5 linked regions of the Zea mays genome follow. The protein of the gene in region 5 binds, or shares a complex with, the protein of the main gene of each other region. Links are inferred from orthologs where the notes say so. Each region holds a gene or a part of one and is shown on either strand. Other genes may lie near its edges. The genes, in order: chloroplastic iron-superoxide dismutase; Thioredoxin-like fold domain-containing protein MRL7 homolog, chloroplastic; Protein PLASTID TRANSCRIPTIONALLY ACTIVE 14-like; protein PLASTID TRANSCRIPTIONALLY ACTIVE 12, chloroplastic; Protein PLASTID TRANSCRIPTIONALLY ACTIVE 10.

Evidence for each region.
Region 1: the proteins of Protein PLASTID TRANSCRIPTIONALLY ACTIVE 10 (region 5) and chloroplastic iron-superoxide dismutase are in contact, whole or in part, in a cryo-EM structure (PDB 8XZV), measured with the Spinacia oleracea proteins. The link is inferred for Zea mays from reciprocal best matches to the Arabidopsis thaliana genes PDE312 and FSD3. Residues at the interface, in XP_021866326.1 of Spinacia oleracea: Arg80, Lys81, Trp84, Val85, Trp89, Pro91, Glu156, Leu158, Arg177, Asp178, Arg188, Glu192, Arg195, His198, Lys199, Ala202, Arg204, Tyr276, Pro277, Tyr314, Trp315, Glu329, Leu331, Arg346, Asp353, His354, Leu355, Leu356, Phe357, Arg359; in XP_021853685.1 of Spinacia oleracea: Tyr59, Tyr60, Gly61, Leu62, Lys63, Lys64, Pro65, Pro66, Leu100, Asp104, Leu106, Tyr107, Gly108, His109, Thr110, Lys116, Val117, Tyr119, Asn120, Tyr121, Gly122, Asn123, Glu142, Lys194, Ser204, Asn205, Arg258, Gln260, Ala261, Phe262.
Region 2: Protein PLASTID TRANSCRIPTIONALLY ACTIVE 10 (region 5) and Thioredoxin-like fold domain-containing protein MRL7 homolog, chloroplastic share a complex: the UniProt entries of both Arabidopsis thaliana proteins name them as parts of the transcriptionally active chromosome (TAC) complex. The link is inferred for Zea mays from reciprocal best matches to the Arabidopsis thaliana genes PDE312 and MRL7.
Region 3: Protein PLASTID TRANSCRIPTIONALLY ACTIVE 10 (region 5) and Protein PLASTID TRANSCRIPTIONALLY ACTIVE 14-like share a complex: the UniProt entries of both Arabidopsis thaliana proteins name them as parts of the transcriptionally active chromosome (TAC) complex. The link is inferred for Zea mays from reciprocal best matches to the Arabidopsis thaliana genes PDE312 and PTAC14.
Region 4: Protein PLASTID TRANSCRIPTIONALLY ACTIVE 10 (region 5) and protein PLASTID TRANSCRIPTIONALLY ACTIVE 12, chloroplastic share a complex: the UniProt entries of both Arabidopsis thaliana proteins name them as parts of the transcriptionally active chromosome (TAC) complex. The link is inferred for Zea mays from reciprocal best matches to the Arabidopsis thaliana genes PDE312 and PTAC12.

The regions. Positions count from the first base shown.
Region 1 is NC_050101.1:80,340,692-80,346,407, reverse strand, and holds the start of chloroplastic iron-superoxide dismutase, read right to left. Parts: upstream 3,499-5,716; 5' UTR 3,484-3,498; coding exon 3,403-3,483; intron 2,562-3,402; coding exon 2,478-2,561; intron 2,374-2,477; coding exon 2,185-2,373; intron 2,026-2,184; coding exon 1,854-2,025; intron 1,730-1,853; coding exon 1,656-1,729; intron 1,561-1,655; coding exon 1,534-1,560; intron 1,462-1,533; coding exon 1,438-1,461; intron 1,327-1,437; coding exon 1,201-1,326; 3' UTR 1,170-1,200; intron 1-1,169. UniProt on the Arabidopsis thaliana protein: Destroys superoxide anion radicals which are normally produced within the cells and which are toxic to biological systems. Plays important role in chloroplast development, particularly in the maintenance of thylakoids membranes.
Region 2 is NC_050098.1:188,497,992-188,502,230, reverse strand, and holds the start of Thioredoxin-like fold domain-containing protein MRL7 homolog, chloroplastic, read left to right. Parts: upstream 1-1,439; 5' UTR 1,440-1,483; coding exon 1,484-2,169; intron 2,170-2,464; coding exon 2,465-2,549; intron 2,550-2,635; coding exon 2,636-2,747; intron 2,748-4,239. UniProt on the Arabidopsis thaliana protein: Plays an essential role in early steps of chloroplast development. Involved in the regulation of plastid gene expression. May positively regulate plastid-encoded RNA polymerase (PEP) activity through binding to FSD3 and CITRX/TRXZ.
Region 3 is NC_050103.1:78,052,566-78,058,405, reverse strand, and holds the start of Protein PLASTID TRANSCRIPTIONALLY ACTIVE 14-like, read right to left. Parts: upstream 3,813-5,840; 5' UTR 3,804-3,812; coding exon 3,561-3,803; intron 3,450-3,560; coding exon 3,312-3,449; intron 2,747-3,311; coding exon 2,621-2,746; intron 2,154-2,620; coding exon 2,025-2,153; intron 1,917-2,024; coding exon 1,827-1,916; intron 1,755-1,826; coding exon 1,604-1,754; intron 934-1,603; coding exon 824-933; intron 346-823; coding exon 277-345; intron 1-276. UniProt on the Arabidopsis thaliana protein: Essential for chloroplast development, especially for thylakoid formation. Involved in plastid gene expression, probably by maintaining plastid-encoded RNA polymerase (PEP) activity.
Region 4 is NC_050098.1:198,689,319-198,695,129, forward strand, and holds the start of protein PLASTID TRANSCRIPTIONALLY ACTIVE 12, chloroplastic, read right to left. Parts: upstream 3,772-5,811; 5' UTR 3,580-3,771; coding exon 3,543-3,579; intron 3,448-3,542; coding exon 3,380-3,447; intron 3,285-3,379; coding exon 2,619-3,284; intron 2,033-2,618; coding exon 1,920-2,032; intron 1,560-1,919; coding exon 1,297-1,559; intron 758-1,296; coding exon 636-757; intron 418-635; coding exon 340-417; intron 252-339; coding exon 195-251; intron 19-194; coding exon 1-18. UniProt on the Arabidopsis thaliana protein: Involved in plastid gene expression. Acidic transcriptional coactivator necessary for the transactivation of many PIFs target genes (class B genes), particularly during the regulation of hypocotyl growth.
Region 5 is NC_050103.1:170,021,653-170,027,655, forward strand, and holds the start of Protein PLASTID TRANSCRIPTIONALLY ACTIVE 10, read left to right. Parts: upstream 1-2,177; 5' UTR 2,178-2,227; coding exon 2,228-2,944; intron 2,945-3,146; coding exon 3,147-3,206; intron 3,207-3,288; coding exon 3,289-3,318; intron 3,319-3,411; coding exon 3,412-3,485; intron 3,486-3,961; coding exon 3,962-4,043; intron 4,044-4,221; coding exon 4,222-4,295; intron 4,296-4,407; coding exon 4,408-4,474; intron 4,475-4,565; coding exon 4,566-4,658; intron 4,659-4,791; coding exon 4,792-4,968; intron 4,969-5,072; coding exon 5,073-5,123; intron 5,124-5,191; coding exon of another isoform or gene 5,192-5,200; coding exon 5,201-5,352; intron 5,353-5,437; coding exon 5,438-5,831; 3' UTR 5,832-6,003. Other genes in the region: probable carboxylesterase 16, read left to right, coding at 1-293.

The sequences.
Region 1 (5,716 bases), on a different chromosome or scaffold from region 5:
TTCTTTGCATGTAGTCCCTGAAGGTGGGCGTGGGTGTAAGTGTGACCTTACATGGGACCTTGTGGATAATGCCATTGGAGCATCACAAGCACTTCATGGCCGAAACTTACCAAGAAGAGCCCATAATGTGTATTCAAGAAGAAATTCTGTTGCTGCACAAAATATGTCAGAGGCTGAAGAGGAAGATGAAGATGAAGAAGATGTTCCACATGATGATGCGGAAATCACAGATTGTGAAGATGAATCTAATGGTGGCAATGATGGTGAAGAAGGGGAGGCACCCAATATCCCAGGAGAGTTTGATGATGATTTTTGAGCGACGGGAAAATAGCTATTGCTAGATTGCATTAGCATATTTGCTGCATTACTAACTGCAGCTAGTTACTATTAATTATGTCATTACAAACTATCTATGTGGCTATTTCAGATTTGGTATTGTGCTGTTTTAAATTTTGTGACTTGCTATTGTTCCTTTAGAAACTACTTTGTGGATATTTCAGATCCACTATTGTGCTATTGTGAATTTGTGATGATTTCTAGTTTATGAGTTGTAACAGCTGTTTGGTTGCTTGGTATTTGGCTACTAAGGCGTCGCCTAGGCGGTCAGGCGGTGGCTGGGCGCCTAGTTCCGCCTAGCCGCCTTTTAAACCATGGTGGATGCAAGAACTAGCTAAAGGTAGGATGCTTTTTTTTGATTTATTTAGTTTATGAGGGACTGGGTGCTTTATAGCAGCATTCCTTGCCAATAAAGATCAACCAAGTGCTACTAATGTGACAGCGACAGCCTCTAATTGTCATCTCAGTTCAGTGGCAGGTTAAGCCTTGGGCACGCACGACTCCCTGGCCTTAGCTAAAATAGAAAAAAGAAAACCTTTACATAAAACCTCCATGTAACCTGAAATCTCATGGTGCATGAACATCAATCTCAATACTAGTATTCTGTTTCGTCATGTACTAGTTTTCCAAGAAAAAGTTTTGTCGTGCCATGAGAGAGCACTACAAACCTATGAATATGAATTGAATTTCCATTAATTTCTACTATTAAAGGTTACTCAATAGCTGGGAAAAAAGCACAAAGAAACTAAACAGTGTCCCTGTTTCCTGCATTGAAGTACGTGATTAAGATATATATGTGCTAGGTGCAATGCATCAAAGTACTGAATTCTTACCTCACGATGATAACTAGGGTGTATCTGTAGCTCAAGCCTCTGGGATATTTGGCTCACCAAGGTTCACAAAAGACTCTGCACGCATCATGCGTAGAGTGACAGTATGCCAAGAGACAAGATGGTCCATAAAGTTTGTGACATATGTTAGCTTATCATCCTGAAAAGTTGACAAACAAAGAACCATAGAAGTTTTCTGCTAAGCTATAACTAACTTGTCAAAATTCAAAATTAAGTGTTAAGGACCAAAAAAGAGAACTGGAGCACACACCTTGTAGTCTAAGTAGTAAGCGTGCTGGAGATAAAAGGAGAAGAGTCAATATTTGGCACGAAATAAAATCTAAAAACTCATAGTCCATGTCCTTACCTCCCACAAGTCTAGGCTGATGATTGGCTGCAATTAGAGAATATGGGATGTCATTGCAAAGTTTGTACTCTAAACATTTTAGAAAACACAAAAAGAGGAAAAAGGGAGTCTAGTAAACATACAATGTCACCAAAAGCAAGTGGGGAGATAGCATTTCGTGTATGAACAACCGAAAGCTTTCTCTCATTTCTCTTCACTGCAACAAATATTCAATGGAATATAAACTGAACTTATAAACTTGCTTTAGAAAGAGCAATTCAGGAAATCAGTAGCTTGAATCAGTGGTGCCTGTACTTCAGAAAAAATAGAAAGAAACTCACAGACAAGCCAAACCCAACCAGACCCTAACAGCTGTAAGGCTGAGCGGATAAACTCTTCCCTAAAATTAGTAAACGAGCCAAAATCCTTTTCAATCTGCTGCAGCACACCTCCCTCAGGTAAGCCACCACCTTCTGGTTGCATTGATTCCCAGAAGAAGTGATGGTTCCAGACCTGCATGTCAGAAGACAGAAGCTTGGAACTCCAAAAACCATCCTACTATTGGCGAAAGCACAAATTGCATTATTTTTCTTTTTGAAAGAAAACAAATGACAGGCAGAAGATGGTCAGTGCAAGCAAAATATAATGAACGGGGTATCATAAACGAGTTACCTGTGCTGCGTTGTTATACTCTGGTAATGGATTGCCATTGTTATAAGCTTCTTTTATCAGATCCTCCAGAGTGTATCCATACAGAGGGCTGGTAGCCAACTGCTTATTCAAGCCATCCACGTAATCTTGATGGTGCTTACCCCAGTGAAGTTCAACTGTCCTCTTGCTCATATAAGGTTCCAGAGCATCCTGAACGCCGTACCACAAAACAAAGGTACACAAAGTTTAAATCAGGGCATTCCTTTAATGGCAGCACGCAAATCTTTGTGACTGGAGTCAACAGGCTTACAGACCAGTTTATATGGTGGGGTTGTGAGACCGTAATAGGACACAACTTTTGAAAATCTTCGAGATAGGCCACCCTGCCTCTGTATTTTCTGCAATAAACATCAGGCACAAACAGCATATAATCTCAAAACATATGTCTGCACAGCAATTTCATTGATTTCACTGCTTTAAGGTTTGTGAAAAGTCAGCAAAAGCTCAAACAAACTGGGCCTTAAACCAGCAATATCAATTCAAGGCCAAGCATGCTCATTGAATAATGAAAAGTGCAATTTAGCCTCGTAAAAAGCTAAGGTCATCTGAGCAAATTAGGACATGTTTGGATGAGCTCAATTCTAATTGATCAATAAAAATACAATTCAATGGAATTCCTTAGGACTAGTTACTAGTTGGGCTAAAAATTAGCTAAGGTTGTCTAGCTAGTTGGCTAACAGCTAGTTAAAAACTTGACTAAAAAAACTCACCTATTAGCCCTTCTGTTTAGATGCGCTAAAGTTAATTTATATCCAGTTAACAATTTTATCAAACACGCCCTTAGGCAGTCTCTTAAGAAGGAAAAGTCATCTAACTTGGCAGTCAAAATGACGTTAGTTTCCAAGTGACATAAGTGAGAGACTGAGAGTTCCTAAGCATGTGAAACACACGTCGAACATGCGGATCCTTATGCTAGAGCATTAGATTAGGTAGGCAGCCCGGCAAGCCTCCGGAACACCACAGCTAACGGCAGAATCATCCCACACCACTCACTCTGCCCAGTCGCCGCGAAGCGCCATGGCGGGCAGCGTACTGGGTTCAGGGTGGGGGCACAGGGGCAGCGACCACAGTAGGAGTGGCTCCGCCTCTCGCAAAATCAAAACGAACAGGAATGCAGCGAGAAGGGGGTAGAAAAAGAAGGGGGGGGGGGGGGGTAGTAGAGGGTCCCACGGGGCTCACCGAGCGCAGTTTCCGCTGCTGAAGCTTCACACCCGCCGGCGGCGAGGGGTGGAGGCGGAGGTGGAGAGCGGAAGCCGCCATTTTTCCTGCGCCGCGCTATCCAAATTCCCACCCCGCGGAAGCCGAAACCGGAATTTCACCGCAAGTTTGCAGATCAGCCCAAAACACTTTCACAAAGACCCCTGTTGGATCGCGATTACTAATCTGGATCCTGTGTTTTTCAAAAAGACACCTAACTTGGATTGCGACTAGTATTAATCATTGTCCACATATTTTTATAAAAAAATCCCTAATTTGGATCTCGAGCATAAATCGCGACTCGATAGTTTTGCATATTACCCCTAATTAGATTTGTTCGATGCAGTTTTCGTAGATTAGCCCCCGTGTAGGGAAAAGTCGCCATAGTTTGATTGTAGTCGACCACACTAACCAAAGGAGACTTGGAGGAACCATTACTAGAACTTTGTGTTCGAAGTAGCTTGTCTATCATTACCAATAGAGAGTGGTCACTATATCTTCTTCTTCATCACTGTCACATGAATACAAATCATTTGTTCAATCAATATCAGTAAGCCAAACACTAACAATGTAGTATTTATCAACCTTTTCTTTCTCGTGGAATTGCCTCTTCTTGCTATCTATTTTCTTGAAGGCTTTATTGGTTTTCTTCTCATAGTCACTCAAGTCATCTTTCTTGTCTTTGAACTTATTTTTCTTCGGATTAAAACATTGGTAAGCAAAATGATCAAGTTTATCATAATTGTAGCAATCCATCTTTAATGTGGGGTTTCTCTTGCTACTAGTAAAGAATTTATTATTTCTTGAATCAAATTTGATATCTTATTTGTTAGATTCTTTTAATATCTATGTTTTATTCTTCACCAACTATTTGTACTAGACAAATCTCGCGCTTTTCCAATGGCTAGTTCCAAAAACTAGTTGTTACTGTAACAGTATTTGGTGTTCACATCAATGCCACACCGAACACGTTGAGTGAATGCAACGCTCGAGTGCACGGTTGTAGACCTCTTTGAGAACCATATTTGGTGGCACATCGGACATGTTCGGTAAGTATTCGGTCTCTCATACATAGTTTACAACATCTCTAAGTATCTTGTCTGATAACTCTTTGAGAACCATATTTGAGAACCATATTTGATGTCCACCAGACATGTTCGGTGCCACTGCAACACCGCCAACTCACTTGTTATGTTCACTTTTTGAGTTGGGATTGGTTTCAAACTTCTCGTAGACTCCCATGGGTTTACCTAGCACTAGTTTTCACAAGTGTGCATCACCACTTCTAACTAGACTTGCCTAGGCCAAGCTATCTGTTATATGCCCCCCTTTATAGTACACCAAAGGAAAAAAATGAGGTCCTAACACTATTCTAAGGGCATTTTTGTTTAAGCTTTTTTCTAACGAGCTTTTTTTAGAATCTGGTTGTGGGGAGAATCTAAGTATCGTGGGGATTATATGCGGAGGAAAATGAAGGGGGTCCATAGGGTTTAGGATCTAGGAAGTGGTTGATTGCTCTAATCGCGACGATTATGTGTTCACGTTGATTTTGGATGGTTTTTACCAAAGCGATTCCCATAGAAGCGGGCAAAAAAGTTGAGCATTTGGCAATCGTAGTACCTTCTAGTGGCCAGAATCAGCAAAAAACTGAAATAACAGGCCCTAAGTGTCTAACAACTACATTGATACTTGGAACTAGTTGGTCATTAACCTTCTCGTTTGTCCTTTGGAAACCAAAAATTGATTTCTATCAATAGAGGCACAAAATACCACATAAGCCCAATCCTTCTCCATTATCACGGCCTAACCCACTTTTTTTGCAAAACACATGTTAGTCATAATAATCCTATGTTTTCATTAATCACCAAACTCAAGTAGGGTCTCAGATGCTTTCACCATTCTCAGATGTGTTATTAGATCCTCCATAGTTAGTCATAACTCCTCCGATTGGTTAGCCAAAGTATGAGACAACATATAAAAGCAGGGGCGGATATTGGGCCTGGGCCACCTGGGTCGTGGCCCGGGTCGTAGCCCAAAAAAATTTTATATATATAGTAGAGATTTTGGCCCAAAAAAACCCTAACAGGTTGTTTTCTGTGTCCCTGTGCCAAAGCCAGCCGCCAACCGCGAGATCGACGAGAGCACGGCTAGCAGAGAGAGGCGCAGCCGCGCAGAGGCGGTACTGCGGCATAGCACGCGAGCTCTGAGCAACAGGGAGCAGCACACCACTGCAGAGGCCAGAGGGCGCAGCCGCGCAGGGGCTAGGCCGCCAGGTCGTAGTCGCGTGCCCGCGTTA
Region 2 (4,239 bases), on a different chromosome or scaffold from region 5:
CATTATACACATCTTGATTCTACTTTATTTAAATATATAATAATGATTTTATTGTTTTATGATTTCTTATTTTATATATTTATTGTGGCCTGCTACCTTATATATTATTATTAATTTTATATAAATGTATGACTTACGTGAATTTTTGAAGTCAATTGAGGGTACAAGTTACAATTTTTACCGATCGAATTTTTAGATTTCGATCGTAACCGGTGTAATTTTTGTACCGAACTTTCGTTTTCGATGTTTTCGAATTACCGATATCGTTTTCGGTTCCGGAGTTACCGTTTTCGATCTCGTTTCCGAGGAAAAATATGAAAACGAAAATGGTTTTTGTGTTTACCGATCGTTTCCGACCGTTTTCACCCTTATTGTCGATGATCTGTTTTCTTTTGTGTTTTTTTTTCAATTAAAACCTCTTATGTTTCTCTCTAGCCAAATTCTCATTCTCACCACTACCCGTGCTAGTGTTCCTTGCTTGGCTGATGTTGTTCCTTAGGGGCATTTACAGTGGTAGATTTCATAATTAAGAAAGAAATGAGATATTTATTGAAACAATCTCTCATAGTGAAGAGTTTCATTCAGCACGGTTTCATAGTTAACATGTAAAAGACAATATGTCTAGGTAATAATGTATACATGGTTTCATCTCCATGAAAATCATTTCATCTCTTTGTTTATTAATTGCTTGCCACATCATCTAAACTGCTGACATGGCACACCATTAATAAGAACGAAGCCCCTATGAAACTGACCATAGAAAATGGCATTAGCATCTAAGGTGCACAAAATAGTCTTTATGTCGTCTTAGGTAGCCCACAATGAGGGGTGCAACTTTCTTCTGTTAGACTGTATCTTTCCAAACTCATTTTGACAGTAAGTGTACATTCAGTGAATATGTGATACATTATTTCAAGGTTTCAGAAGCACAACTGATGGAAATAGTTATTTGGATAGCTCCATAGTTAATTGGTGTACTTTGTTGTTTATAAAACCAAAAATTACAATGTTCGAGAGGGTTAAGTTCCAATAGAATTTTTTGGGTTCCATCCTTATTAGAATAGGTAGGTTTGACGTCACGACTCTTCTCGTTTATTAGAGTTTGGGACGGTTGAGCAATATATGCGTAGTTCTTCACATTCGTCTAAATTTATAATGTTTTCTAGACTAAACTAACTATTGAAATATGACACATACACAATTATCATTTACTGATGTTATAGAGATAAGTTTCTCTCTTCTTTTGGTTTGAGAGATCCAAAGGGATTAAGATACTCCATTTGCTCTAATTTTGGCAGTTCCTCACACTCGTCATGCTTTCACGAATCATTCACGAGGCTGGAAGCGTCAGTGCCGTTGGATTTGAGAAGATCACGAGACCAACGGGCAACGGCGGACGAGAAACCGCCATTCGGATAGCACGGGCGCACCTGCCGACCGGCGAAACCCAGCCGCATACTCGCGCCCATTCTCGCCGCGCACGATGCTCCGTCTCCCCACCCTCACCGCCCTTAAACCCTCAACCCCCGCCATCAGCTTGAACCGTGTCGGCTGCAGCCATGGCCGCCGCCGCCGCAAGCTCATCTTTGTCTCATCCGCTCCTCCGCCGTCTTCTTCGTCTTCACGGCCTCCGAAGCCGACGTCGAACCCGGAACCACCAAAGCCCACACATGAGGCCCGCAACCGGAACCCGGATGGATCCACCGAGGCAGGGTTCCCCACAACCAAGCCCCGGAAGCCACGCCGTGGGCGCCGCAGCGAGTCGGCGGCCGTGGAGGACTTCGTCCGCAACCGCCTTGAGCAGGTCTTTGCCTCCATCCAGGAGCGCAACCCCGACGTCCTCGAGGGCAAAGGCGACATCCTGAAGCCGAAGGCCGATGTGGAGCGATTACCAGACGACGAGGGAGAGGGAGAAGGAGGAGAACAGAAGCCCGTGGTGGAAGAGGAGGACCCGAGCTGGCCGCTGGATGCCGATGTCGGATGGGGGATCCGGGCCTCAGAGTACTTCGACAAGCACTCGATCAGAAATGTCACAGTGGACGGGGTGGAGATCGATTGGGAAGGGGACGTCGACGAGGGGTGGGTCAAGGAAATCAATTGCTTGGAGTGGGAGAGCTTCGCATTCCACCCCAGCCCCTTAGTCGTCCTAGTCTTCGAGCGGTACAACAGGTAAGGACCATCCATTCCCTGTCTAGTTTTGATTTGTAAACTGTTGGCATTATGTTTGGAATGGGCTGTGTGTAACCCAATCACCATTTTAAGCTTTGCATTGTGTAATGCGGATGTCCGTAAAGTGTGAATCAAACGAAACTAGAAACTTCAGAACTGTCCTGGTACTGACAGATAAACGGCAAAACAGGCTTCAGTTTCTGGAATTGCTTTGTTTAGGGTGAAGTTTATTAGTTTATTTACAGGAGGCTTTGATTGTGTAGTATTGAACCCTGCATGATGTTGTGATTTGCAGGGCTGCTGACAATTGGAAGTTTCTTCAAGAATTGGAAAAGGCTGCTAAGGTGTACTGGAATGCTAAAGATCGCTTACCTCCTCGGGTAAGTTTGAATAGCATCTTTTGATTATTTGGCTGGGTTACTGGTCTTTGTGCAGGTCCTAAGTTTTGTTTTGTTTTGTTTAATAGACAGTCAAAGTTGATATAAATATTGAGAGGGATTTGGCATATGCACTTCAAGCAAGAGAATGTCCACAATTATTGTTCCTTAGGGGAAACAAGATCTTATATAGAGAAAAAGGTATGTCAAACTAACACCCCAACCTAGCCACCCCTATATGGTTCAAATTGTCCTTGTGAGAATTCTATAAAAAAAATAGTGAGGGTTACCTTTTTTCTTGCGGGAAATTAATTGAGAAACAAAATAGGTAAGTAGAGGTGAGACCTACTTATCATTGTGACATTTGAGAGGAAGAGGAAACTCCCATTAGAAGATTGGAGAGAAAAGGGGATCTATTAGTTGAGCCTCTCCACAATAGAGCAAAGGACGTATTTCCAGCTCAATTTATACGCCCATGCGGCCCATAAGATGAGCTCCTGACAGGATTCCCGTTGGAGTTCATCCTCCATTTTTCTCAATCTGAAGGTTTTGTTTCCATGCTAAAACGTCCATACAGTCAGTGGCGGACCCAGGGTCCAGCGACCCTAGGCGCCTGGCCAGACTTTGGTGCCAGCGCACAATTAGCTATTCATCGCAGCACCTTAATCGGAAGCTTTGAATCATTTGATCTGAGTGATGTCTTAAGTCTCGTCCGGGCTCTATTTCAGTTCTGGGTCCGCTACTGCATCCAATTCTGTTCCAGCCCCAGCTCAATGCACCAGCGACAGCACCCTGCAGTTCTGATCACGGGAAATTCCATTTTACTAAGGGCTAGTTTGGAAACCCTATTTTCCCATGGTATTTTCATTTTCCCAAGGGAAATTAGTTCATTTTCCTTTGGGAAAATAGAAATCCCTTGGGAAAATGGTGTTTCCAAACTAGCCCTAAAGGATTCCTATTTTCCCAAGGGAAAATGAACTAATTTCTCTTGGAAAAATAGAAATCCCTTAGGAAAATGTGGTTCCCAAACTAGCCCTTAAACGGAAAAACAGTAGAGGAAATTCCTACTGCTGTAAGCACACACAAGCACACATTGTTATGTATACACTCAATAGTCGTGTGTCAGTAGTATTCAGTATTTCGTGGTACTGACGCGTACTACTGGTTGGTACTGGATGTGGTTCATTCGTATTCAGTATTTCATGGTCAGTTTTAGCTACTAGGTGTAGAATAGCATTGCCAGTTTTATCTGAGAGAGGGAGGGAGGCTGTTACACAATTGAAGAAAAGAAAAGCACAATTACAGGAATCATAGGGCTGAAGCAACTACAGCCTACAAAAAGAGAGGAAATTCAAGGACAAAAGGACAATTCTGAAGGCCCTTCAATCCTGTGTAACTGCAGTGAAACTTTGGGCGTGTTTGGTTCTGGCTTCTAGGCCCAGGCAGGTTAAAAAAACTCAGCCGGCAAGGAAAGACCACCTCACGGTATTATATTAAGAAGCTTAATCGAAGCACGATCGAGGAAAGTCACGAAAGCTAGCTCCCCATGCAGCATGAGGGTCCGCCCCCTATAGGCCAGATCTTTACTCGTGCTTTGAGCTCTCCCAACCCCTACATAAGGATCCCTCTATAGGCCAGTCCATCTTGTGTGCACACAACTAGGGGAACCAGCGAGTGACTTTTTTTAACCTCA
Region 3 (5,840 bases), about 92 Mb from region 5:
TGCAGAATTGGTTTCGCACACAAGCAACATAAGATGTCAGTCTAAAAATGGTATGTCGTTGTAATTTTTCAACAGGCACTGCATTGTGGTGCCTATAAGAACAGCACAGAATAGTTCAAAACTAGACTAGTCTCCTAGAAGCAGGACCTTAATTTCACAGATACAATTCTAACTGTCAGTTTTCCGATATCAAAGAAATGACAAAAGTAAAAAAAACTTTTTGTACACCATTATCCATAAAGTAAGCATCAACAAGATACAAGTGTGTGGTCATACCGTTGGTGATGAGAACCCATATCTTTCCATAAATTTGCTGTTGACGCCACTCATATAATCTATCGTCATCTGTACATGAGTGCATGGGTCAAATAGTGACATTAAAAAAATTGGCTTAAAATTTTGGAAGAATAGACTTTGTGAGGATAGCAATTTTAGCTGAGACTGGTAGAAGGTTGTGCAGCGGTATTTCTATTGGTACATGGGATAGAGAACTTTCCAACATGTATGGGACTGGAGAAATAGAATGGTCTAAATATAATTATGCACAATAATAGAAACAAAGTTTGCTAAAGGATCTACTAGCATTTACGCATAATTTTAATGAATGCGCTTTTCAGAGTTTTTTTACTATCCATTATTTTTTAACAGGTATTTAAGCCTGATGTTAACAAAAGTGAGGACTGCAACCAAGGCGCACATGCATCATTTATTATGGTGATAAATCCATGTAATTAAACAGAGACATTTAACTTCACTAGCAACACAAACCAATTAATCCGTTGCTCAGGGAAAAATTAAGATGAGCATACATCCTAGACAATACCTCGTCTCCTTTCTTGATAGCTTGTCCAGCCTTAATCATAACTTCAAGCATACGGTCTTTAAAACGCCAATGCAGGAAGCAATTAGCATTGGGTGAGTGGTTCAACATATCTGGGGATAAAAGACAAATCATGACTTAGATAAAGCACTCCTAAGCAGATAATTGGGGACTACACTAGCAGTCTGAACAATAATTTGAAGGCAGATAGCTGCCTATAATGCATGAATGGGAGAAATATCTTGTGTTAAATATGACAGATATATTTATGGTTTTTATCTCAACAGTTCGACGATGCACAGGCATTGTTCCTGTTATATAGATTATCTAGGATTAGTTTAATCTTGCGTCTCAAACTAAGTTGAGCAGACACGATGCTAGAGGCTCCCATATGAGTGGGGTCTGGGAAAGGGATAAACCAAAGCAAGCCTTGCCCCTACAAATGCGGAGATGCTGTTTTGAACCCGCAACCTAGTGACTCAGTGAGACAGCTCTCACCACTGCACCAAGCCTGTCCTTCACATCTCAAAGACTCAAACTAAGTCAAATGGTAGAATGTTGTATCTGTGTAACAGTAAATGAACAAGCAGATCGGCATATAAAACTACAAAACAGAGTAGAGTAGAAGTCCAGTTGAAATGCATAGCTAACCATATTTTTGTGACTATTATTACAGGCTCATAACGCTAGCATCCTGTTGTTCACTTAGGTGCCTATGCATAACGCAACGGAGAGGGGGAGGGGGAGCAGCAATCACGAAAACCAAAAAAAGAAAAGAAGTACCAGCATAAGGAGCTAGCACATTTGCATCTTGGATGAAGGCTCCCATTCTCAACTTCAAGTTGACAGAACGAGACTGTACTATACTCAGTGCCCAGAGAAATCTCTCATGGTCACGTGCAAGGCGTTTCAGCTTTAGAGGAATTGGTTTGTCCTGGATATTACCCATCAAGCTAGTTAGAGGAGTTCAAGGAAGGTAAGCTAGTAACATAATGAAGAAGTATACCCAATGCTTTTGCCAAAAGTCAATTGCTCGTTCCTGGTGTTTTAACATTTGTGAAGCAAGATCTTCATCTTCTAGTTCCATTAGATCTTCCTAGAAAGGCAGGCATATGAATTCATTCAAACAGCAGAATCAAGTATAAGGAGGTTCCTAAGAAAAGGACACAGCAGAGGTATATACTTTCCGTTAGCTTTTTGATACCTTTGGTGCCAGCAGCAAACTAGTGCATTCATCAACACTTGGCAAAAAATCAGAATATAACTGCCAAAAGTTGTCTTCTATATCAAATGCATATAGAAGAAGACATGCTAATCTTAGATCCCAATCTGTCTGCAAGAGTAATACAAATTACATCAGCTTCCAGCATAGATCATTTATTGGCGCTTTAATATTTGTTGAAGAAAAGACAGATGATTGAGTTTTTGAAAGTGGTATCACTCCTCTCTAATGCAACTGTGAGCTTATGGGTCGATAACTTCAACCATATGGATGGAATGTGCACATAAATTGCTCTGCAGTCTCAAATTCTCAATTACACAGATCCTAGCTGTATGGAAACTCAAATGTACTATATGAACATTGAATGCTAAATTGCACCCATACAACTTCAACACAAGTCAATTAGATGGCTGTTATGTAATGAATCCTAAAATAAATATAGGAGAACCAACAACTGGTTAACAAAATGATTAGCGTGACAAAGCTATTAACTAATTCGCTGAACATTCAATAGAAACTAGTGACGGAATTTTAAGAGATCAGTTTTCTCTTTGCAACAAAAGATTTGATCCACCTACCTCTGGATCTGTTGACTCGATAACATCAAATATAGGATGGCCTAGTGGAATAATGTCAGGGAAAAACATCCAAGGTTTCTTTTGAGTTATAGTCAGCATCAGCTCCAACGGAATCTCCATAATCACCTGGAAAAGAAAGCAACATCAGCACATCTTTCAATAACATTGCTCATCATTGCGAACGAAAAGAACCAAATATGTTATACAAACAGTTTCAGCATGCCAAGAATATCATATAATTCTTTTGAACAAGACCATCGTACTACAGGTCTATAGCATGCATCAAGATGAAGAATTCAACACATGGGTCTGGCATTTCGTGAGCTTAATGCGACTGCGAGCAAACATGTGTTATAACTATAGATGCCATATTTTTTGGTGACAGCAAGTATGTAGCAAATAACAATTAGGCAATTAACATAAGCCATTGACTTCCAGTGGTAATGTATACTACCTACTAAATATAGTGTAAATATAATCTAACAGTTACTACACACGAACAACGTCCTTGACCAGTTATTCTCATGTGAGTTTCCCACCCAATCACAGATTCACAGGTGCTGCATCCAAACACTAACTGGTGTGGTGATGGACGTCCAGCTGCAATGAGACAGAGATTTAAACCTCAAATTGATCGGTAGCTAGTGGTTGGACTTGGACAAGAGGAGAATTGTTGAATGAAGTGTCTCACTCTAGCTCTGCGAAGTGGCTCCACGTCCCGGGAAGCGTAGACGCCCATCCCGTCGGGGCCTTCGAGGAACTCGATCCCATAGGCGCGCATCATCCGCGCATATCCTATCCGGTAGAAATCAGGGTCCGCGGGCTCCATCTACACACAATGCGATGACGTACGTAGACGATAACCGTCAATCGAGCGATTCTAAATTCGGCGGTGAGACCGGCGTCTGTAAGCGAGCGAGGAAAGCGTGAGGGTGAGGACCTCGGGCGGGAAGGGGTCGTCCTCCTGCGGCGGCTCGAGCAGCCTGAGCGGAGGCGTGTCGTCCCGCTCCGCCGCGACCTCCGCCACCGGGGGAGGAGCCGGCGCCGGCGCCTGCAGGCGCGGGCGGCCCGCGCGGAGGTGACGCGGTTGCCGCCGGACGAGGTGTCGCCAGGGTGTCCGGCGGGGGAATGAGTTAGGGAGAACGGAGGGGAAGAGGAGGGCGGGGGCGGTGGGGATGGCCATGGCAAGGACAGGGAGGGACGGTGAACTGGACTCGCCGAAGACGTTATCTGTTGAGTACTTGAGTGGCGGGCTGATTTTTTTGCATTTTGATCCTTCATCGGAAAAAAATTCACGTTTGGACCCTATAAAATTTTAATGTCATTTTTGGACCCTTTACTCGGCGCCGTAGCCTGTGGCGCCGAGGTAACACAGCTCGGCGCCATAGGCTATGGCGCCGAGGTACGTGCTGCGTTGGCACAAACGGACGTCGTGGCGCCCAACTTTTTTGCAAATTGGCCCTTTTCGGGTTTTTTCCCACAAATATGCCCCTGGCAGTTTCATTTCAAAAAATGGACCCTTAGCTCGGCGCCGTCATCATTGGCGCCGAGCTTCTGTGTGCCGGCGCCAATACTATTGGCGCTTATACATCAGACGTGGCGGTTGGCTGGCAGTGACGTGTCAGGGGGTCGGCGCCAAGATCTATGGCGCCGACCCCCGGGTCGGCGGCGCAACACGTGTCCGGGGGGTCGGCGCCATAGATCTTGGCGTCGACCCCCTGTATTCAACCTCTGTCAATCTTCTGTGCAAAAAAAATTGAACTCACGCCGCCCCCAAGACCCCGCGCCGGCGCTACTCCTTCCCCGGCCCGCGCTACTCCCCGGCGGCGCTCCACCACCGGCCGCCGCCGCCCCGCCCGCCCCCGGCCGGCGCCGCTCCTCCACCGGCCGGCGACGCCAAGCCCGTCCCCGCCCGGCGCCGCTCCTCCCCGGCCGGCGACCCCCCGCCCGCACCCGGCCGGCGCCGCTCCTCCCCGGCCGGCGACGCCCCGCCCACACCCGGCCTTGCGCCGCTCCTCCCCGGCCGGCGACGCCCCGCCACACACGCCCCCGCCCCTCAAGCGCCCCCGCCGCCCCGCCCGGCGCCGCTCCTCCCCCGACCGGCGCCGCCCGGACACGCCACGCCCGCCCCCCGGCAGCCCCGCCAGCCCTGACCGCGCCGCCGCCCCGACACGGCCGGACGCCTCCCACCGCCGCCGCACGGCCGTCGTCCCGTTCCGGGCGCGCTCCTCGGTCGCGCTCGCTCCTCGCCCGCGTCGTCGACGTTCATCCCCGACCGTTTAGGTAAATTTTATATGGTTTTTGTTTATTGTGTAAGCATTTTGTGTTAATTATGTTAAATTGTTTTGCTATAATTTGTGGTTTTTTGAATGTGATGAATGTTAGTTATTGTGATAAATGCTAATTTGATTGAATATTATGAATGTGAGTCAAATGTGCATGTTTTTTATCCTCCCCGTGCAGGGGAGGTGCTGTCAAAATTTGCAATTATTATATATGAGTATTTTATAATGTGATAAATGCTAATTTGATTGAATATTATGAATGTGAGTCAAATGTGCATGTTTTTTATCCTCCCCGTGCAGGGGAGGTGCTGTCAAAATTTGCAATTATTATATATGAGTATTTTATAATGTGGTTAGTATATTAGTGGGTGGTGGTTATATTTGTACTTATTTAGGTAGTAATTAGTGGTTTGTGGTTAGGTAATAACCATCCACAGTTTATATTGAATGTTTAATTGGTGTTTCAAATAGATGGACAATTTTTTGAGCTTGTATCATGGAGGCAATGCGGAACAAGATCCGTATGGAAATGCCAAGTTCATTGACATGCGACACGTGCCGGTACTATTCGATGGTAGACAATTATGTATTTATGTAATTTTTCATCAATTTGAAGGTAATTCATTACGAAATATCATTGTTCGACAATACATAATACCGAATAATAAGTTCATTATTACATAACTTCAAATAAAACACCAATACTACTGAGTACAACGAGGCCATTTGCCTTTGCGAAATGCATCAGGGTTCTCCTCCATTGCTTCCTTTGCACGACGTGCACGCTCAAGCTTCTTCTCCTTATCTTCCCTGCATTCAGCAACACGCCTCATTTTCTCTTCGTCTTCACGTTGTTGCTCGGCAGCAAGCTCCTCTCGTCTTTTTTCCATCCTCTCTTTATCCTCTGCATCCCACTTTTGAAGATTCTCCAACCA
Region 4 (5,811 bases), on a different chromosome or scaffold from region 5:
ATCACTGTCTTCATTGTACTGTTCAAAAGTAGAAAAATATAGTGAAACAAGCAGTAGTCTAAATACATAAGCTATTATTACACCTTACAGAATTCACAATCCATTTCCCTTTTCAGTATAATATAAATGGCTTGAGAAGCTTTGACAAACTTCTTTCTTAGGAGAAAAATGAAATGTTTAGAGTGGGTACTTACAGAATGCTCTCCTATATCAATGGCGGTAGCCATAGGATCTTTAGCTTCAGGAATATACTGCCATAATAAAATAGATATGTAAGTAACATTAACCCTACCTGCAAACTTATCAATTGAAATTAAATTGATAGTTTATGTAAGATACCGTTATGTCTTGATTGACGTCCTCTCTCTCTTCATTCAGACGTGCATATAGCTCTTCCTTTGTGATCATTATCCCATGCTGAGAGGGAGACAAAGATATCAAATAAGAATTCATGACTCCTGATAGCTACCCAGGATTGACATTTATTCTTGTCATGTCATACTACTAAATGCACTTAAAAGTAAAGGTTATACAGCAGTTATGACTTTGCAGATGATAACATTACAAACATGGTTATGATAGATCTTAGCCAAGCAAGTCCAAATAATGAGTTCAGCAGAAGTGCTATCTCATACCTCCATCAGGTAAGGTACAACTTCAGGGGTAGGCTCATGAAATTCAGGACCTCTGTAGTCAATCACTTCATCAGGATCCTGAACATAATTAATTGTTGGATAGACAGGATCACCGCCCCAAACTACACATTAAAAAATAGATATTATGTCCTGATCAGGATATTCCCCAATACAATTAAAGTGTATGAAGTAAACCTTCCTATTCAAAAAATATGTTCTTCCAATTTGCAAGAGTAGAGTAACTTTAAGGTGGCATTCAATTATGAAGAAGACACTGATTTTGAACAACATTTTTACTAACTCAAGCCACCCAAATGGTCTGCTGTTATATATAAGAAACAGGAGCATATTAGTTCAAGAAATGCACACTCAAATCAGTGGATGGGATTATATAAATCACCCAGAAGGTTCTGCAACACAGACACGACTCCAAGGTGTATGAAAACAGTTTTTTTATATTTAGCTTCTAATAATATTATGTAATTGTTCCTAGTTATTTCCAGTCGACGTTGTACCAGACTAGAATAGAGCATCTCTGTGGAGGAATAGAACAAAGAAGCTAATGTAAGACGAATAACACATGATTATGCAGCAGCAACAAAAAAAATAGACTTTAAAGACAAGACATGCAAAAGAAGAAGATTTTTTAGCAAAGAAATACTCTGTTTGATCTGGTCTTCCCGCATTCTCATGGCCAAAGGATCTCGCTGAATACGCACATCGGTGCCCATCATGATACGATATTCCCCAGCAGTTTGGTGTTGAAACATTTTTATAAGTTGAACATTCTCATCTTCGCCAGTTTCCTCAAAGTGCTTCTGTATGGCCTCACGTGATGTATCCTTGTTTTTATAAGCTTCAACCCATTCTGAGTAGTACGCTATTGGCCCTATTTCTTCTAGTCTCCTTTGCTCTGCTTCTAACCTGTTTTTATATTGTATATTAAATGTAAGAGTATAAATGGGCAAGATAAACTTGTGTCAATTAAAAAAATTGATCCTCGACATCTTTCTGATGCAGTATTTAAGAATATATGATGAGACCGCCACATATTTGTAATATGTGGCATAACTTGGAGAAGGTGTAAATCCAAGAGCAGTTAAATAGGTTTACGAAAGATTATGTGATGAGACCATGCACGAGTGGTGGTACTACCAACTCAAATGATGTAAGGCAATTAGTAGAAACAATGTGTGCACAGATATTCAATAAAATCATTCGGTAAAGATGTACTGCAAAAATATATGGTATAATAATTCTAGTATTCTGTGGATGTAAGTCAACCTTTCCTCTTTGTACAAATGTCTTCTTGTCTTTGCAAGAGCAGCTTCTGTCCGTGAAGGATGGTCCCCAAAAATTTTAATTTGCCCAGTCTCCGCCATTGCCTTTGCAAAAACCTAAAATGATACAGCATACATTACAATTTATAATGTGGATCGCCGTCACGGAATATAAGTTAGTTGAAACACCAGTCAACGTAAAAAATAAAATCACAAAGCCTCAACCATATCAAGCGATATGAACAGACAAACCTGCACATCGATATACATGCACAGACGTCAACGCCATAACCCATAAGCACAAACCTCACCTTTACATCTGTGAGACTGACACTCTTCTCACGTTCACAGTACAAACAGAATAACTGGAGAACCATAAAATAATTGACACCATGGTCGCTAACACTTGACAGTAATTAGCAACACAAATACCATATACTTGGCTAGCTACTTTTGGACGGATAAAACAAACAAAATGACACTGGAAGATCACATGGAAATTGTTCCGTACGTGCAACATTTATACTATATGAACTATAAATGAGGCATAGAAATACTAGCGAGTACCATAGCAATACTCAAAATCATACATTTATGGCCTTTTGTTGCAGTACCTTTCAATGTCCGGAATTGGTGAACAGCCCCAATATAAGGAAACATCACTACCTACCACTTGCTAGGTTCAATCAAGTGAGGAACTAACCGTGTCAACATCTGGACGCCTCCTCTGCCATCTTGACCACATTTCCTCCTCCTGAGACTTCCTCCTCCAGTGCCACCAGAGCTCTTCACTGGTTTTCGGCTCCCCTAGTGACATTGCCTTTGCTGGATCAATGAACGGGTGTGGCCGCCCCATCATTTTGTCCATGTCATACTCACTCAGCTCCTCTTCCTCTGGTGTCTCATAAATGACATACTCATCCACCGAATCCTTTATCTCCTCCAATGCATCGTCCCCAGAGCCTATAATAGCCACATCAGGTTCATCACCATCCTTTCTGTCATCAGTCTGTGCACCCTCCGTTCCTGACGCCGACGTCACCTGCTCCTTATACCCTCTCCTCCTGCTCCCGGGCTTCGTGCCAAATGATGGCATCCCAGCTGACTCCCCAACCGGAGCAGGCGCTCGCGCGGCACGGACGCGGGCCGCCGTGCCCTCTGGCCAGTACTCCTTCCCGGGTATGCTTGCCCGAGCGCCCGACGCCGGCTCGAGCTGACCGGATGTGGAGTCGAAGTAGCTGGAGTACGGTGGCGGTTCTATCTTCGACGGGTCGAAATGGAGAGAGTCGTCCTTGACGCACTTGATCCTGGCACGCCGCGTGCCCAGGAACAGCAGACCCCTCCGGTGAGGCAAAGCACTGAACACTTTCTGTGCACGCACCGAACGACCTCCAGTCAGGCGCGTAAACCGAACTGGAACTAGGAACCAAAGTTATAAACTGTACGAGGCGTTTAGGCACTTACCGAGGACTTGCAGGTGCGAGAATGAGCCGGCGCCGTGACGGGCCCGGCAGGGACCGCCGTCGACATGCCTGAACAGTTTCAACAGAGTGGCTGTGATATCTGACGAGACGAACTGTGCGCAGGGAATAACGAACGATGAAATGGGGTCCAAGCTGGAGGTTACCTGGGAATAGGCGCCACGGGTTGTAGCAGGACGCCATGGTAGCGGCTCCCGCTATGGTGCTGCTTGCAGCGGTAGGGCGTAGGCGTCAGTCAATTCGTAGTGCGCGGGCGAGAGTGAGGTGCGAATCCGGCGGCGAGGTTTTGGATGGGACCTTCGGAGATTGCCGCGTTCAGGATAACGAGAAGGCTGAAGGAAGAAAGCGCTCACGTGGAAGGAGGTTGTCTTTCGACTTTAGAGAAGTGTAATAGCGGGCTATAAGACTGTCGCTTCACTCTACACATCTCCTACCCTATTACTGTTCATTCTATAGTGGCTACAGTACTCTCCTACCTCCCGCAGCGGCGAGCGCCACTCTCTCCCCTACCTCGCCGCACTCTTCTCTCTCATGCCAGATGCAGGGGATGACTATAACCGCCCCCTCGCCTCCTTCACGCGGACGGAGCCGGCCGCGCCAGACTACGGAAACTTCTCGGTCCACCTCGCTTCGCCTCGACCCCTCCGCGGAAGAGCGATTTAGCGCGGCGACGCGGCGGCGGATCTCCCGTCGGCCGGTGGAGTCGGCCCCGGCCCCCCTCGGTTGCACAGAAGAGGACCTCGACTTCGTGACCACGCAGTGCCGTTCGCGACCGAAGACGAAGAGGAGTCCAATCCGCTTCCGGCGAGGTACGTCGCGACCGATTCGTTGGCTTCCGTCTCCGACCATCGACGGCGCCATCAGATCCACACGGAGACGCTTCGATTCGGCGTGTTGCGGCCGAGATCTCCCCTTCTTAAGGTATTACCTTCTTCAACCTCGTCAAATCAATACTTATTTCACGATTGATTTAGAACAGCACTCGTATTTTGCTTCGATTCGCCGTCTTGCGGGCGAGATCCTCCCTTCTTGAGGTATACCATCTTGTACCCCGTCAAATGAATACTTCATTCAGGAAATATTTAGATCAGCACTGGTTTTGTTCAAAAATCCTAGTTTATTTTGGCCAGCCCATATGAGTTTAGCAGATCCACACTTGTAGTTTGAGCTGTGAACTTGTTACGTTGTTCATCCTCCGATTTAGCCCCCTGGTGGAACAAACTTTGTCTGTACCACGACATGGGAATACACACCAACACTAAGTAGTCGTGCGCATTCGGAACCACTTTGAACCCTTCTTTGGGCGTCATGTTTCTAGGAGATGCAGACGGCCCCTACAATTTATCAGTTCACCCGTACTTGCCAATGGAACCAAGGTTTTCAAACTCGTAGCCTAACATTAGCCATGACAGCAAATCTATTTCCCCAGTGATGTTCATTCCACTGAAGCAGATGTTTATTAAGTGAACAAATTGTATTTGTGGCGTTTCTGGGGAATGTTACCCTTTCGTAGCATTTTAGTCTTCACCCATATATGGCATTCCACTGACACCCTGATTATGTCATAATTCATTGTGCTTGCATGGAATACACGTATGTTCATGAGTTGTTCACTACAATTCATGACATGTTCATTTACTTTTGACTATGATTATCTGCCTGATCATGTGTCTGCCTGAACATGTGTTTGACCCACAAACTTATGTAATGTTCAAGACTTCAAAATGTGTATCTATCATGACAATAGTTGTATCATTTCTATCTGCATGTACTACTTTCCTTTCTAGTTCTGTGCCATACACTTCCCTTACGTTTAATTGTGTTTATAATGTTCATGCTTTATGTACAATAACATGTACCTGCCAACAAATATATAAGTGCTATTGACAAATTTATTGTTTTCATGTGTCTGTTTGGTTTATGAATCGAACTGTACATGTCATATGTCATCTTCACTTTACTTCCTCCCTAAATTATGGACATTTACATGTTTTTCATATGCCTTAAGATACATTTGCCTGTTACCTTTCTTCATCATTATCATATATCCATGCTAGCGCATGTACACTACTTTCCAAGCTCTGTTACATATACTTCCCTTATATTTCCTACAAGTTTGTAATGGTGTTCCTTTTGTTTATGAATCCATGGTGGTGCATACAATTTTGTAGGCAATATTATGTGGGAACTTTTTTCATTCCATGAATGCATATGCTTTTTAAGGGTTTGCACATGTTACTTCATATATTAAATGTTTGCAGTCCATTTGATCATGGCATCCTCCAAAGAAGATAAGATGAAGGTTTTGATGAAAGTCCTTGTAGACTGTACCGAGGATGCCACAAAATCCATGGGGGGTTTAGTTGATCATGCATTAGACCACATGCATGATGAAGAGATCCTAGCTAGGACATT
Region 5 (6,003 bases):
CTGCTGCCAACCCTCTGGCGCCTGGCAGAGGAGGCCCTCCACTGAAGTGCATGCCGCCGACCTTAACGGTTATTGCCGAGCATGACTGGATGAGGGATCGAGCAATTGCTTACTCTGAGGAACTCCGCAAGGTTAATGTTGACTCGCCGGTTCTTGACTACAAGGATACAGTTCACGAGTTTGCAACCCTGGACGTATTCCTAAAAACACCACAGGCGCAGGCCTGTGCCGAGGACATTGCCATATGGATGAAGAAATATATATCCCTCAGAGGGCATGAGTTCTCATATTAGTTGTAGCAAAAACCATGCATTGTGAAATAGGCCCTTTGCAGGGAAGCGTCAATGTGTTCTTTTCAACTGGTGGAAAGAGGGATGTTGGATTGCAGTCGGGTAAACCAGCTAGCTTAATGCTGAGTACTGAGTCCTTTAGGCCCTGTTCGGTTTCACCGGAATAGACCAGGATTTATTCCAGCTCATCAAAATCTATATAAATTAGAGAAGTAATCCGGCTAGGAATCAATCCGAGGCTCAAATCCATAACAACCGAACAGAGCCTTAGTGATTTTTGTGGAAGAATGTAGTGTGCAAAGTTGTAGACTGTAATCAAAAGATACTCTTCCCCTTGTAGAGCTTAATTCTTTCATTCCTTTTGTACCCTTTGTGTATTTTGGAATTACTGGTGCTGGGGGTTACCATTTTTTGAGAAGAAATAGCAATCTCAGTGGCCATACTTGTGGAGCACTGAGCTCCACACAACGACATGTAACCTGATCGTTCATTTTGTTCCGCGTAGCGTATCTGCTTATATCAGCATGCATCCTTTTTGTTGAACATTGTATTTTGCATTGGCATCAGGTTTTATTACGCTATTACCCATATTGGTGTGCACTAAAATCTGGTATTATTTGAAGGCACATTTTTCTTGTCAGCATCATAAATGTTTAGCGAATGCGAGCTGTGTGTGTATGCCAAGTTTTCATCCACTTATCAACTTTCATGTCCAAAGTCTTCTCAAATCATAACCTGCTTCGTGCCTACACCAACATTCTTGAAGTTCACGTTTTTATTTGTAATTTCCTGTTCTTATTTAATTCACGTGCTCAGGCATTAGCTGAAAACTTGAAATTACGCTAAGGTTAGGAAAAGTCGGTCCGAGCAGAGTCTAGGACATCTTTTGTATTCCAGCTATACGAATTGTCACTGTCAACAAATGATGTCCGAAATCAGAATTGTACACAGATCAGACTTGTCAATCTTATGAAAAAGAGAGAACTCATAAAAATCAGCGGACCTTCAATAGTTTACATTCAAAAAATAAAAAAAATCTAAAAGCTAGTTTGACAATTTTATTTTTTTAAGAAATTCTAATTTTTACAAAGGAAACTAAACTAATTTTGGTCTAGTTTAACAACTCTATTTTTCCAAGTGATTTACATTTTCACAAGCGAAAATAAACTAATTTCTCTTATAAAAATAAGAATCACTTGAAAAAATACGGTTGTCAAGCTAACCCTTTTATTGGAAAATGAAATTTTTTAGAAAAATAGAGTTGTCAAACTAGACTTAGGGGGTGTTTGGTTACACCCCGCTAAAATTTAGCTCATGTCTAATCGAATGTTTAAACCTCCGTTCCGGGTATTAAATGTAGTCGGATTATAAAACTAATTTGTCAGCCGAAGATTAAAAGACGAGACGAATCTAGTCCAGTTGGTTGGGTCTATATTTCATACTCCTATTTAAAAGTCAAACACTTGATGTGACTTAGGCTAAACTTTAGCAGGAGCAACCAAACACCCCCCCTTAATGGTTATATCATAAATGACCTTTCACAAGACATTCCTTGTTCTGCTCTGAATAAAAGGTTGGAGTGATGGTTCTTTTTCTAGGTAATCGGTTATTATCTCGGTAGGATCTTTTGATCCTCCTGGAGCCGACCTGTAGTGATGTAAGCATTTTGTAACAACTCACATAATAAATTTAAGATTTATTTTTTATATTTTTTATAAATTTACTACTAAAAATAAAAATATAAATTTACGAAGCAGATTATATATCCTATTTTTCACAAGAAAATAAAAAAACTAAAAAATAATATATAACTATCAGAGTATTAGTTTTCATCTTACCGACATGTGGGCCACCACATGAACCTTATCCCCGCCGCGCCTCCGCTCCCTTAAACCCCGCGACGGGTCACTGGACGGCCACCAGTCCGTGCTCCCAAAATGGCGGCCTCCCCAGCGGCCGCCGCTACCTTCCTTCACCATCACCTCCCCTTTCCCAGTCGCCCCAAGACACTTCTCAGACCACGCCTCCACCGCCTCGCCGCGTCCATCAACCCCTCGTCCACCGACGAGACCCCCGCCGCGGACCCACCGGTCATCCCCTCGATCAGCATCAAGAACACTGAGCCCGAGGAGGTCGCCCGCCGCCGCAGTTGGGTGGAGCACGGATGGGCTCCGTGGGAGGAAATCATGACGCCGGAGGTCGCCTTTGCGCGCCACAGCCTCAACGAGGGCGAGGAGGTGCCGCTTCAGTCGCCGGAGTCCCTCGAGGCTTTCCGGATGCTCACGCCTTCCTACCGGAAGAAGGTGGAGGCTGAGCCAGGATACCTGGAGCGCCTCTTCGCGACGCGCGACACGCCCGAGCCTCTCGAGACGACGTGGGCCGGCCGGCTCCCGCTGCGGCTCGTGCCGCCGCGGGACTGGCCGCCGCCTGGCTGGGAGGTGGACCCGGACGAGCTGGAGTTCATAAGGGAGGCGCACAGGGCGGCCTCTGAGAGGCTGGACATGGAGGCGGCGGCTGCGGCAGGGGTGACCAACGTGGAGAAGCTGGAGGATGCGCCACAGGATCTGGCGCTAGAGAGGTACAAAATGTTCCTGAAGCAGTACAAGGAATGGGTGGAGGCAAACCGAGATAGGTTGGAGCAGGAGTCCTACCAGGTATAATTGAGTAACTCACTGCTTAATTCTAACCGGAACATCTTTATATGATCATCTAGAAAACGATGAAGCTAGTTTTGGTTGTCATTGTGTGCGTAATTGAATAGAATTTAATTCGTGTCTGTCTTGACATCCCATCGAGTATTTACAGTGTTCCTCTGCCATCATGTAATGTTAAACCTGGGCTATTGCAATTGTGCAGTTTGATCAGGATTACTTCCCTGGCAGACGAAAAAGAGGTAAGGACTACAGTGAGGATATGGTAGGTTCAGCTCTTGAACGAGTCCCATACATTTTGTGATTCATTTCTTTAAGGTACTGAAGTATTGTTTGCTCTGATGCAGCGTGAACTTCCATTCTACTATCCCGGACAGGTTCTGTTGGAACATCTCTACTTCACCTTTTTTTCTCTCTTAGCTAGTCCATTTAATTCTAACCATTTTTTAAATGGCTTTATGCTCTTGCAGATATGTTACGGGCAAGTAACGACTGTTCACCTCTACCAGGGAGCCTTTGTGAACATTGGTTGTGTCCATGAGGGGTATGTGCACTGAATTCTGCTGCATGATGAATTTACGATGAACCTAGTGTACTTAATTTAGCAAAAGGCAGGCCATGAAGGATTATCTCAACTCTCTCCTTACTGTAGGCTAACACAATTTTTTTTGTTTATGGTAATGCTATAACTTGTGTCTTCCCATGCACATGTCTGAAATTTGGGTGTCATGTTTTCTTGTTATACCATCCTTTTTTCTGCTGCGTGTACTGGAAATTACCACATTTCAGATTATTAAGCACACCCCAAAACTTGCACAAAACATTCAACACATAATCTAGATCCAATCAGCACTCTCCACCTTTCAGCAACAGACAAACTTGGCAAGCTTCTTAAATTTGCACTTGTAGCCTTGTAGGATAGTCCTCTGTCTCTTACCCTAGATTTTAAATTTAGCATAGTTGCTAAGACATCGTCTGCTATTTACCTTGTTGAAAATTTACAACTTGTGATGCTTTTAGGTGGGTACCGATAAAAGGAAATGACTGGTACTGGATCCGACATCACATCAAGCCTGGCATGAAAGTCTACGTGGAGATTCTGGTAAGTGATCTTGAGAAATTCACATTTACAGCGAGTGGTTTAAGGACATCTAGTTTCAATATTATAAAGGAAATGCTTTACATTGACTAAAGTGCATGTTTTGTTCATTCTCTCATTTTTTAGAACATTCTGTACATGTTAAGTAGACCGACCTTAATATCTATCAATTTCTGTGCAGGCCAAACGAGACCCTTACCGCTTCCGCTTCCCACTTGAGATGCGATTTGTATATCCTAACATTGATCACCTAATGTGAGTACCACTGTTATCATTGTGTCCTCAGTTCTGATAATATGAATATTAATGCCAGTTGCCATATCGGTGCTTGAGTTTATTCCAATGTGTATTTCCCTTCTGACTGCAGATTTAATAGATTCGACTTCCCACCAATATTTCACCGTAAGGAGGATACTAACCTAGAGCAGTTGTGGGTGCGAATTAATTCTGTTTGATTCAGTTTTCTGCTACCATTTTCAGATCTTATACTGGTGGGTGCATCTAACCTTTTTTATGAACTGGCAGCGTGAAGCCGGACGGCCACCCATTCCTAGGAAAAAACCTTTAAAAGATATGGAAAAGGAACCTTTGGTATCAGACCATCCTTTTGTTGACACGGTATTCTCCATGAATCACAATCATATGCCTCATGCTTCGTATATATATTATTTTGCATGCATCATGTTGTGGCTTGTGCATCTTGCCGTCAAATAGGTTTGTAAGTTAAGTTCCTTTTTTTTTTGTTTTGCAGCTTTGGGAATGGCATAATGCAGAGCAGATGATTTTAGACTACGAGGAACAAAATCCAGATAAATTCAAGAATACAACATATGAGTCCACAGTTGATGCACCCTCAATCGATGAAGAAAAAAGAGTTGAATACACCGAAGGATATTTCAAAGAAACACTGCTAAAAAAGAAAGTTGTGGTATGTAATATCTGTGGTTACCCATCTTTGGATCTTTGCAGCTTGTTAGTTGCAAGTAGATGTATCCCCTAATGGCATCCTGTTGTGATCCCCTTTTTTTTTAGAATATTAGCATCAAAGAACTTGATCTGGATGCTGCCCGTGCTGAACGCCAGGTACACCTCCTTTTACATACGCTGACAATATTTTGTTTAATCGCTTACCATTCCATACTGAACTTTAGTCGGTACAGCTGATAAAAAGGCTGAAAAAGGAAGCCGAGGAGAGAGGGGAGGAATACAAGGTTAGGAAGCTCCGACGAAACAAAGAAATGGATGAGTATGATCTGATGCAATGGCGTCGTTCATTTGAAGAGAGGGAAGCGCTTATCAGAGACATCTGCTGGTAAATCTTGTATCAACGAATTCTGTCACACCACCTACTGCGTAGTTTGGTAACTCCCTAATAAAGTTTTTTTTTTTATTTGCAGCCGGAAAGCGCTTGATCTTCCTATCGAAGAGCCCGGGCGATACGACGTGGACGAGACAGAGGTGTACGGGAAGGATTACTATGACCCAGAGAAGCCAATGTACCGGTACGACTACTGGGGCGAGCCCAAGAACACGGAGAAGACGAAGCTGGAGCGGGACGTGGAGCGCCACAACCAGCAGGTGGTCGGCGACGCGAAGAAGTGGTGCGAGATGTCGTACGACGACTACGTCCGCAAGAAGCTGCGGTTGGAAGCGGCTGAGGCGAGGGAAAGGCGGAGGAAGGCGGCCGAGGCGCAAGAGGACGAGCAGGAGTACGATGACGGCATGGACCTGGACCTGAAGAAGATGACCGATCCACGCGCCCCGCACAACCGGTTTTACATCACGAAATGAAAGGTTAGAGATAGTTGTTAGTTGTGCAAAAGGTTCGATTGCCTTGGTTGTTGTTGTTGGGCCACCGCTTCCGCCTATGGTGCAAGAGTTGGGGGCGCTTGATCAGGTCGTCTGACATTCTCCTTGTTGACCCAACCCCATTCCGATTGGGGCGACCTGGTCAAACGCGGGG